3 linked regions of the Macaca mulatta genome follow. The protein of the gene in region 1 purifies or fractionates together with the protein of each later gene. This does not show direct contact. Links are inferred from orthologs where the notes say so. Each region holds a gene or a part of one and is shown in the gene's direction. Other genes may lie near its edges.

What was found. Proteins that work in one complex are often made in the same cells at the same time.
Region 2: the proteins of APLF (region 1) and CHD1L purify together in Homo sapiens (affinity purification with mass spectrometry; 4 studies listed by BioGRID and IntAct, counting the BioPlex papers as one, with this or other methods). This does not show direct contact. The link is inferred for Macaca mulatta from reciprocal best matches to the Homo sapiens genes APLF and CHD1L.
Region 3: the proteins of APLF (region 1) and LIG3 purify together in Homo sapiens (affinity purification with mass spectrometry; 3 studies listed by BioGRID and IntAct, counting the BioPlex papers as one, with this or other methods). This does not show direct contact. The link is inferred for Macaca mulatta from reciprocal best matches to the Homo sapiens genes APLF and LIG3.

The regions. Positions count from the first base shown.
Region 1 is NC_133418.1:56,275,803-56,279,939, reverse strand, and holds the start of APLF (aprataxin and PNK-like factor), read left to right. Parts: upstream 1-1,218; 5' UTR 1,219-1,398; coding exon 1,399-1,494; intron 1,495-4,137. UniProt on the Homo sapiens protein: Histone chaperone involved in single-strand and double-strand DNA break repair.
Region 2 is NC_133406.1:118,844,428-118,848,116, reverse strand, and holds part of CHD1L (chromodomain-helicase-DNA-binding protein 1-like), read left to right. Parts: intron 1-968; coding exon 969-1,134; intron 1,135-3,689. UniProt on the Homo sapiens protein: ATP-dependent chromatin remodeler that mediates chromatin-remodeling following DNA damage.
Region 3 is NC_133421.1:44,508,477-44,512,165, forward strand, and holds part of LIG3 (DNA ligase 3), read left to right. Parts: intron 1-2,072; coding exon 2,073-2,270; intron 2,271-3,117; coding exon 3,118-3,269; intron 3,270-3,689. UniProt on the Homo sapiens protein: Isoform 3 functions as a heterodimer with DNA-repair protein XRCC1 in the nucleus and can correct defective DNA strand-break repair and sister chromatid exchange following treatment with ionizing radiation and alkylating agents.

The DNA.
Region 1 (4,137 bases):
AATACTTCTTTTAACTCAGCTGAACACAAATCTCTTTTCTAGACGAGCTACTCAGCTATGTTTCTGGACTTCACAAGACCACGGTGGTTCCTATTCATGATCCAGATTAGCTGTGGTGGCTGGAACTGTAGTCTGTGTTCAACAGAGGTCTTCCTCTTGAGGGTTGGGGGAAGTAAGAAAGCAAACTGGTAAAAACGAGTGAGTCAAGAGCAAGTTTTTGCCATGCACCTTGGCCCCTCCCACCACCAATACAAACCAAAGCCAAACCACAAGGTTCTTGAAAAGAATCTCACATTAGGAAAACGTTACAGTGTATTTAAACGTTACGGTGTGTTTATCCACTTCTCCCAGGATCTTACTGGGAGAATAAAATGCCTCCCCTTGTGGAATTCCTGCAACGGGAATGAAGGTTTTTGAATTTCACAGCAGGGGATGCCTTGGCGAGGTTCTAAAATCCCACTAGGAATCTTTCTTCTACGTCCAGGTTCGCCTGGATGCCTGGAAACGACCCCTCTTCTGCCCTTTCTCCTTTATGAATCGAGCTTTGCTGAATTCTCTCTCAAGTGAGGTAAAAGCTCGTCTCCCTTTCAACTATCACTCGGAGGGATAGATTGGCGGCAGCGCATAAGGTGGGGCCGGGAGCCCCACTCAGCCCACATCCCGCGGGTCAGGGCTAATCACCCCACGTCCCATCTGAGCCACCTTCCTTGTGTCCTGCGCGGGTTGCAGCTGCTGGAAGCCAAGAACACGGAGCACTGACAAGTGACAACAACCGTCAGCGCTGTCACTGCGGCTCCAGGCCGCGGAGGGAAGGCTGAGCTTGCGTCAGGGCCGCGTCCCCGGGAGCGTAGACATCTAAGCCAACGGGAATGGAAGATCCTCCTACCTACTGGGCCGCGATGGCTTCTCCTCCCGCGATTTAAATCCTCCGGAATTCGAATCTTTCCCCATAGCTCTTCTCTTCCCGCCCACCTAAGCCCCACCCTGCTGACTCGGAACTCGCGCAGGCGCCGAGAGGGGGCGCGTAGTGCCTTTGGGGATTGGTAGTTTTTTCCAGGGCGTCTTAGCTCGGGAAAGGAAGTGAAGAAAGGCGCCAGGACTACAAGGCCCGGCGTCCTCCAAGAAGGGAGGGAGGTGAAAAGGGTGGTGGGGAATAAGCCGGGGTTTTTAAACAATAATTTTGAGGCGGCGTGACTGGGGAATCCCCGATTGCGTCATCAGTAGGCGTGGAGGGACGGGACTCGGGAAACTGCGCTGGGGCTGGGCTCTGACAGGACCGGCGCAGGCGCGGGTAGCCTTTGCGGCCCTCCCCCGCTGTTTTTCCCAAGTCCTGGGCTTTCCCCGCGGAAACAGCGGAGGGGCCAGTCTCCTGGCGAAGGGGCCTAATCCTTGCCCGCCATGCCCGGGGGCTTCGAGCTGCAGCCGCGGGACGGCGGTCCCCGGGTGGCCCTGGCGCCCGGGGAGACTGTGATCGGCCGCGGGCCGCTGCTGGGAGTAAGTGTGGGCGGGGGCTCGGCGGACCCCGAAAGCCGTGGAGGTCCGCTCCGGCGCCTGAAGACCGGCCCTAGTCCTAGCCCTATTCCCCACCGCGCTGGTCCGCCGGTCTGGATTTTATAAGTTTGGGGCCGCAAGTTTTTCAGTTACCTTTAAGCAATTCACAAACATTTCTTTATGTTGCTTTAAAAACACTGACTGTATTACCATTATTATCTTTTCCGGGGTTTGGCAAACTAGAGTCTGGGGGCCAAATCCAGCCTATGTTTGTATGGCCCCGTGAACTAAGAATGATTCTTAAATTCTAAAATGTAAAATATAAACAAAAAACCTACCAATTTTTCCGGGAGAATATTGCTGCAAGGGTTCAGGGTATTGTGGCTTGTCCTGTAAAGCCTAAAATATTTACGGTAGTCTCTGGCCCTTTACAGAAAAGTTTGCCAAACCGTGATATTATGTCTTCTAGGCTAATTTAAGCTTTGGTCTCCTTTGCAGAGCTGTGTGGACCTTATTTATTTATTTGTATTATTTATTATTTCCAGTAAAATGAGTAGCTAATCCTTAATAAGGAATGTGTATAGCGTTCGAGTCATTGGTCTAAGGAGACATTATCTATACCAACATCTTTAACTGTCAGGTATTTTTATTATCCTCATTGTTCAGATGAGAAAATTGAGCCATACATACGTTATTTAAGGTCCATGCATAAGCTTTTGGACACAATGCCACAAAACTAAATATTCTCTACCTTCTTTGGGAGGTTTAGGAATGAGAACATTTGCATATTGCATTCCAGAATTCTATAGAGCTCTTCTTAAGTACATCTAGTTTTTAATTTTTTTCTTTAACATTCAGCATTTCTTTTTAGTGCTCACTGTGTAGAACATTTTGCAGATTCTAGCACTGTGGGGCATACAAAGATGAATGGAACATGGGTCCCTGCCCGCTAGGAGTTTTCTCTTGGGACTGGGAGACACCTGTGTCAGTGAGCTAACACCAAAGAGTGAGGAGTGTTTACTGTTATCCTGATTGACTTCTAGAGTCTAAATGGAACCATTGGTACTTGCCTTAGGTCCCTTCTGGGAGCAGGGAAAGGAGTGGTAGTTTAAGATTGTGTTATGGAAATTGGTCCTAAAGGCGTGTGTGTGTTGTGTGTTGTGTACATACACATGTGCATGTAGTACGGTTATTGAGACAGTACTCAATTGCTGTTCTTTTTTTTAACTGACAAGTGATTATTTAAATGTTTAACATCATTTCAATTTTTTTTTTCGTCGTTTATTAGCCTTACAAACACTGGAAGGAACTGGAGGCTTTATTTTTCTGTTTTTCTTTTAAATTCGTAGGTTAGAAACTTAGAGTATGTGTTTCATCTAGTAATCATGTGTCTGGTGACTAATGAGTTTTGACTTGCTTAAGACATTGTCACCAGTAGAGTACCTGGGTCTGGTTAAAAGATGGATGAATTTTAGGGCCGTGTTGTAGAAACTTGGCAACAGATTGCATACCCTTTCATTATTTGTAGCTTGTTCTTTGTGTTGTCGACTTGCTAATGTGAGATGAGCCTATTTGGTATCTGTTTTTTAAAATGATAGGGAGTGAAAGCTGGGCAATTATCTGGTCAAGATCTTGCTTTTCCTTTTAAAATAACATTCAGGGATGAGATTCTGTTGCCAAGGTTGGCAGGTATCAGAAGTGCTTATGAATGACATCCTAAGTGTGTTAAAGGAAAAATTTGGAGAACAAACAAATCACCTTGTAGTTTTTTCGATTTTGGAGCTGACAGATGCACTCGATTCTTCTCCGCAGTGGTTAAAACACAACATAAGGGCCCCTGTTTCCAACAACAGGAATTCCAGTGAGACTTATTTTTGTTTTGTGAGAGAGCGAAGACTGAGTTCTAAGTGGAAAACTCAGTAAGTTCATTGTAAATTGGTATACATTGGAAATGATTAATATAAATAAGGATGATTTTGAACTTTCTTAATTGGGCACGTTTTTCTGAGACAAGCTTCACAAACCTTGATGGCCACACAAACATAAAAGTTTATAATCCCACTGTGTAAAATAGTCTTAGTAGTAAAACAGTTTGACAATGAGAATATTTTTATATTTTTACGGTGGTAGGAAAACACAGAGAAACCTGTCACAAACAAAGGACAATGAAATTTAATCTTTCTTGTGCCCTTTGCTTTCACGTGAGTCATCAGAGAACCCCAGCTCTTTGTTTACTAGATTTTGATTCTGCTTCATGATTGGCATCAGTTAGATGGTTTTACAGCAGGATTTATCTTCAGAGAACTTAAGTTAAAACAGCCAATCCAAAAGATTACATATTGTGTAATTCTATTTATATAACATTATTGAAATTGCAGATTGCAAAATTTCAAAAATGGAGAACAGATTAGTGGTTGCCAAAGGTTAAAAAATTAGGCAGGAGGGCAGATGGGAATGGATATGGCTATAAAATAGCAACGTGAGGGATATTTATGGTGACAGAAATGTGCTTTGTCTGGACTGTGTCAATATCAATATCTTAGGTTGATGTATTGTACTGTAGTTTTGTAAGATGTTACCATTGGGGGAAACTGGATAAATGGTACAAGAGATATTTCTATATTATATCTTTCAACTACATGTGAA
Region 2 (3,689 bases), on another chromosome or scaffold:
CAGCTGCCAAAGCCAGTCATCCTGGTTATGTATATGGAGGGTAAATATAAATATATCTAGGTACATTCATACTTAAGTGAGCTGTGTATTGTTTTTTCAAGCAATTACAGAATACCTTAAGATTTCCAAGTTACTCACAAAATAGACAATCTAGAGATAATTACCCCAGTCTAAAAGGGCAAGATGAGAACAAGGGCCCAAGGTTGGAATCCACCTTGGGTCAGGATCTCAGCGTTAGTACTTAGGGAGGTGCAAAGTTGGAAGTAGCAAGTGAAAGCCAGGAAAAATGATCTATGCTTTCTGTGTGGTTCCTACAGCCATAGGCAATAGGCTGACAGTACTCCAGAGAGGGACGAGAGAAGAGAAACAGGATAGTGCAATGCCAGAGGAACATCCAGAAAAATTCAAACAGAGAAAAGGCCTTCGGGTCTGGTGGTTAGAAGTTGTTACTGGTCTTTGCCAAGGTGTTTTCCATAGACCACTGCGTTAGGAAAACGAATTGCCAAAGAAAAGGAGTCAGTTCATGGTAGAGGTAAAGTTCCCAGTGTAACCTTCCCTTTCTAAGGAGTCTGGCAGTGGAGAGGTCGGAAAGTAGCTAACAGGGTCTCTGACCTCAGGTGGCTGCTGGGAATGCTTATGAAAAACAGTCAGGGAGAGGTGCTGTAGAAAATGCAGGAAATTACTGTTATTCTTCAAAAAAATTGGAGGCTTATATATATTTTTTTGTTTTTATGCAGAATTGTCAAAGTCAGTACCTCCGATAATCATTTATCACCTCTCTGCTTACCCATCCTCCCAACTATGAAATGTCCCTGGCTGTTACCATCTATGATGGGGACAGCAGAAAGGCTGCCTGTTCATTAGAGAAGGACTGTGCCTGGTGTCGTTAATCCACTTAGCCAATCACTGATATCCTAATGTTTCTTTTCATGAGAACTTACTGGACTTTTTTGTTTCCTCTATTCAAGTTGAGTGAGATACTCAAATTTGGTTTGGATAAACTGCTTGCCTCTGAGGGGAATACCATGGATGAAATAGACCTGGAGTCCATCCTGGGAGAAACAAAAGATGGCCAGTGGGTCTCTGATGCCTTGCCTGCAGCAGAAGGAGGGATAAGAGAGCAAGAGGAAGGAAGTAAGTCGGAGATTAGAGCAGAGCAAATGGCACAACCACCCCAAGCTAGAGCTCATGTCCCCATGGAAAGTTTTGGATGCTGCTCTCTGAGACATCTTTTTTCTACCCTACCCTATTGTCATCTTGGGCACACTGTTTAAGACTTGCTTGATACAAGAACTGTATCCAGACTAACTGTAAATATGTGTGGCTCTGCCCTTGTAGCTGAACTGTGAACCAAAATCATAGTATTAATGTTTGTGATAGTATCAATCTTAAGGCTTTGAATTTGTCACTTTCCTCCCTTGGTTGCAAGCATCTTCTTTGTTTATTAGTGAAGCCTCTACCATCCTTGGTATGATGCTTTGCACATAGTCATTCCTCTTCTAAACAAGAGAATTACTTGTTTGTTACATTGCAGCTAACATTGAGCATTTACTTTGTGTTCATCAACAGTGTGGACTTTGTCACGTGCTTTCTCCATTTAATTTCCACAATACGCCATGAGATGTAGGAGATGGTTGCCTTTCTCTTAAATTTTCTTTTCTCGATTTCTCAGCATTTGTCATTTTCTTCTTTTCTATTCTGAGTATTTAAATTTCTGACTTGAAGTAATTTTTCACATGGTAACTTTGTAAAGGCATTCCCTGGCATCTTGTAGTTATTTTGAAATGACTTATTTTTCTGGACCAGCTGCAGCAGAGATTCAATATGGACTGGGGTGAGAGGTTTGGGAGTCTTACTAGGCTTCTTAATTCACCGGTGCTTTCTTTCAATAATAGAGAGTAGTGCTGTTTCTTTACTAGATGGTAGCTCCTTTTCATGTTGGGTAGCAGTAGTGGCATGATTTCTGGTTTTGCAGTTCTCTTTTGTTTCTATAGGACTGTGAATTTCCATCACTTGCTTTCTCTTTCTTTTTGCCACAAACTTGTCAAAGGATGTCTCCCCACTTCTAAGTTGTCTCTCTCTTCCTGCCAGAAGCAATGCCTCCCCAAATTCCTGGCTGCATGTGTTTTTATACCTTCCCTTCCCTTCAGTTCCTTAGTAGCCACTTCTCTGATCCACCAGGTCTCAGACCTATCCTCATTATCTTGCCACTTGGATTGTGACCCTCTTTTGCGGGTAAATTTTATCTCTGACCTTTCCGGAACCCCCCTGCCCTCTCCTCTGCATAGTCTCTGCCTGACTGTCTACTTTAGTGTGGGCTTTGGAGCTGGCTCAGCTGGTTTTGGGGGTTCATTTCTCTTACTTCCATAAGTTGAAGTGTGTAGTATTTTCTGACTCCTAGTGTAGTAGGCATGGATTGGGGCGGCTTTGTTCTCCTTGTTGATCTGTATAGTTTTTGTAGGATAGGTGGAAAAGTTGGAATTTGGGCAGCTGGCATTGTTTTACAGGAAACTGCTTTTTGACTTTTTTTATGTTTTACTTTAAAATTCTTTATAAAAATATCTTGTTCGTATTCTTCAAGAACTCTTTCTTGTTCTCTGCTTATTGTTTTAATTGTACTCTGTTCTCATTTCAAAGACATACTGTCTTCTCTGGGGACATTTATTATGGCTTTTTAATATGTATTCCAGGGAGGATATTTATTATATCTTTTTAAAAAGTATTTCTCTTCCCACTGCATTGACTTTTACTTCTCCTTCTTTTTTTTTAAAAAAAACCACATATATATATATTTGCTTATTTATCTATTCATTGAAATTTGCAGATAAAATTGTGTTTATCATGTACAACATGATTTCTTGAAGCACACGTACATTGTGGAATAGTTAAATCTAGTTAATGAACATACATCACTTCATATGGTTATATATTTGTGGTGAGAACACTTAACATCCACCCTCCTAGTATTTCTCAGGAATACAGTATGTCATCATTAGCTATAGTCACCATGGTACCTCTTTTTCTAAAAAAGAAAACTTGTTTGGGGGTCTCTTGTTCTCATTGATAGTTTCCCCAACTGTCTGGTATTCCCTGGCTGTCTGATCACATGTGCTGATGAAGTGCCACAAAGCTGATGGCAGCTCTGGCATGGGCAGGGGCATGGGCCTTGGGGCTTATTCCTGGTTGGCGAGTCAGCTTTTACGTGGAGGGCACCTTCCCTGATCCATATTTGACATCTTTTCACTGGGCAGCCCATTTTCTCCTGAGACTAATCCTCTAGTATTTTCCCTGGGAGAGGTGAGAATGGAGTTCATCTGGTTGCTCAAACTGAAAAGGCAGGGTGAGTCAAGGGCTCATAGCACTCCTGCTCCTTGGGGTGTACATCTTCTCTCAGCTCCCCCCTTTGCAGTACTCTGTACTTATAAGTCCTAAGCTCTTCGGAGATTGAGAGGGTCTCTAGACTCCTAATGAGCCCTTGGCTAGGCACCTGTGTTTTGTTTCCATGGCTCTTCTTAATCTGTCATTATCCCTCCAGCTACTTTGCATTTTCCAAAAGGTTATTGAACTTTTTCATCCACCATTGCCTCATATATCTTTTTTAAAATTCCTTTAACTGTCACTTGGTGGTTTCAAGTGAGAGAAGAAATAGATGCATGTGATCATATTTTTAAGTTATAATTGATTATATT
Region 3 (3,689 bases), on another chromosome or scaffold:
AATACACACATGCACACACGTGTATACACACATATATAGTTTCTTTTATATAAAATATGGAATTGCTGTTTCATAGACAGGGATTCAGGAAGACTTTGCTGGGGCATGTGGTGTAGATGGGAGTTGAGAAGGTCAGGATCATTTATTGGCCTTACGTAAACAGCGTTGGACTAGGGGCTTTTACATGTGTAGTTTCATTTGTTCTTCAGTTAACCCTAGACAGTACTTTTATTTAGGAAGTACTTTTTATTAGGCCTTTTTTATGACTGAGAAAGTTGAAGTTCAGGGTTATCATGGAGTTAGTATTTGCACTGAAGTCTGACTCCAGTATCTGTGCTCTTTTATACTACACTGTGTTGCTACGTTTATTGTTTGGAGACATTCTTGTGATTGACTCAGTTGAAGAAAATAAATGAAGCCAAACCACCTGGCCTTATTTTAGAAGTCATTTGGAGATTGAAAGACATTTTATGTGATTGAAAGAAGCCTAGACCTGAGGTCAGAAGACTTGGGTTCTGATCCTTGACAGCTCAGATCCCTGAGCATGTCCTTACTTCTCTTCAGCCTCTGTCTGTGAAGCAGCAGTGGCCTCTCCTACCATAGTGTTATGTACAGGGTGCTATGGGAGCATAGGCAGCAATATATAAATTACTTTCCCCTCTGCTTCCTTGAGGTTGTGTATTTATTTGTTTAAGCTTCATCATATCTCCGTGCCTCATCTACCCCATAGTGTTCTCATGAGGACTATAAGAGATAACGTTGCAAAAACGGTGCCTGGCTCTATAGGATTTTTATTATTTTAAAATTCTGAGGTTGGTTTGTTTGTTGTTTGCTGGTAGGCCAAAGATAGAGAAGAGTCCAGGTGATGAGAAGGACGGCATGTTTCTGGAAGGGCTCCGGTGTTGGGGATGGAATTTGAGAGGAGTTGAGAGAAACAGTATTTTAGTTCTTGCAACCTGGTTGAACATTGACACTTTGGAGATTTTGTCCCTTAAAATCGTATTTAGATTCCGTATCAGAGATGAGGATGGATTTATAATTTACAAAGCCCAGACAAGAAGCAGCGTACAACAGCAGTTAGCTTAGTAATGGCTCTGCCACAAGCTTGGGAATAAAATTTGGTTTGTAAATGGTCACGAAGTGATCGATGAGTGGCGCATAGTTATTTTTAAGCGTCTGGAGGAAAGCCCTGCCCCTTGACCACCTTTTGTAAAAATGTATTTTTTTTTTATAACTGCTCCTTGGGGAGCAGGGTTTTATTTTGACAATAAGAAAAGAAAGGTTGAAGTGGCAAGGGGTGGGGATGTTGAGTGTACTAGTGGGATCTGACTTTCTTAGTAGTGTCTTTGTCCTGGCTCTTTCAACAAGGAAGTGGGCCAGGAAGTCATTTGCTCTTGTCAGACCTCAATCGCCTTATCAGTAAGAGACCATTGAACTAGATAATCTTTAAGGCTTCTTCCAGCTCTGACAACCTGTGATAGCAGTAATTTCACATTGACTAACATGTGCCTTGATTTCTTACTCCTTTTTCATGCCAACTTTTCTGGGGTCAGCTTTACAATTGCTCTGAGAATCTTCTGACCGCTTTATTTATTTATTTATTTATTTATTTATTTATTTATTTATTTTTTAGAGACAGAATCTTCCTATGTTGCCCAGGCTGGTCTCAAACTCCTGGGGTCAAGCGGTCCTCCCACGCTGGCCTCCCATAGTGTTAGGGTTACAGGTGTGAGCCACGGTGCCCAGCCAGTCCTGATCATTCTTGGCATGACTTCGGTCTTTATTCTTTTGTGAAGTGCTCACATAAAGAGATGCACATCAGTCTGATGTTTTGCTTGGTCTAAGGAGGCCATTGCTCCTTTACCATTAATTAATAGCTGTAAGATTTGAGAAAATTACTTGGCCTCCATTTCTTTATCTGTAAGATGGGTGTAATGACATCTACCCCAAAGGTCTATTCGGGGAGAGTAAATAAAGCTAAAGTACCAGCAGAATATCTGTTAACTTCCTTCCTTCCCTTTCTTTCTTCTCAGAAAGGCAGAATGAATTCATCTCTGTTGTTTCTCCAACAGCCAAGCCCAACAACTCTGGGGAAGCCCCCTCAAGCCCCACCCCTAAGAGAAGTCTGTCTTCAAGCAAATGTGACCCCAAGCATAAGGACTGTCTGCTACGGGAGTTTCGAAAGTTATGCGCCATGGTGGCCGATAATCCTAGCTACAACACGAAGACGCAGATCATCCAGGACTTCCTGCGGAAAGGCTCAGCAGGAGGTGTGGCATGAGCATCCTGAATAGGCCTTTCCTCCAGAGAGCTCAAGGCCATGACTGCCTTCCAGGGCATGTGAGCTGTGTAGTTGCCCAGGGTCCCATGTTTGGTTTAATGCTTTACTGTAGTCTGTCTTGAAATTCTTAATAATTTTGAACAAAGGGCCTCGCATTTGCATTTTGCACTGTACTCCTCAAATTATGTAACCAGTTTTTTTCAGAGCACTTTGGCATCTTTCTTCCTCTCCCATTATTCTGCTCCTAGGAGGCCAGAAGAACCCATCCTATTTGACTAGTTAGAAAATTTACTGTCCTACATATTTAATTAGGTTTTTGTGAACCATATACACAGCTTGGAATAGAATCTTCCAACTCTGTTTCTTTAATTTATCTAACAAATTGTCAATGAGCATCTGTAATGCCCTTGTCACTGGGCACCTGAAGTGAAAGTAACCACTCTGTCCAACGAGAGTTCATCTGTAGGCTAAAGGCAAGGCAGTCACACAGTCCACCAGCCTCTGAACTCCATGCTGCTCCTACTGTAGCAATATGCACAGGGCACTATAGGAGCGTGGGCAGTGATATATAGATATGTTTTGGGCTCTGCTTCTTTGAGTTGTTTGTTTATTTATTGAGACAAAAAAATGTGGCTGTGTTGCCCAGGCTGGAGTGCACTGGTGCAATCTCAGTTCACTGCAACCTCCACCTCTTGGGCTCAAACAGTCCTCCTGCCTCAGCCTCCCAAAGTGCTGAGATTACAGGTGTGAGCCACCTTGCCCAGTCTTCTTTGGGTTTATATATTTATGTGTTTAAGCTCTATTTCTCAAGAAGGGTTCCTTTCTTCTATCTCCAGATGGTTTCCACGGTGATGTGTACCTAACGGTGAAGCTGCTGCTGCCAGGAGTCGTTAAGACTGTTTACAACTTGAATGATAAGCAGATTGTGAAGCTTTTCAGTCGCATTTTTAACTGCAACCCAGATGATATGGCACGGGACCTAGAGCAGGTCAGAGGAAGGGGAGGGAGGGTAGGCTACATTCCAGGTAGGGTTTTGCCAAGCCAGGCACCTGCAGCCTCTTTTTTTTTTTTTCTGGTTGGGACACATACTGTTTTAGGAAACTGAAACCCATTTGAGCAAGCCTTTATTACTGGGGGAGCTGAATGTGAGGCTATAGCTGTTAATTTCGTAAGTTTCTGAGGGCGGAAACCATACCACTGCTGAACCACAGAGGCCTGGTTCTCAAAAGTCAGGATTTCAGACTTGCCCCCTCTGTCTCTCCTGGGGCTCTTATTCTGTACTCTTTTTTCTCGCTTGTTTTCTCCTGTAACTTGGGTTTACCAAGCTTTGGTTTGTTCGTGACTCTTATCCCCGGTACCATGGCAAGTTTCCATCCCCTTCTAGGAATTGTGGATGGGCTAGTGTCTC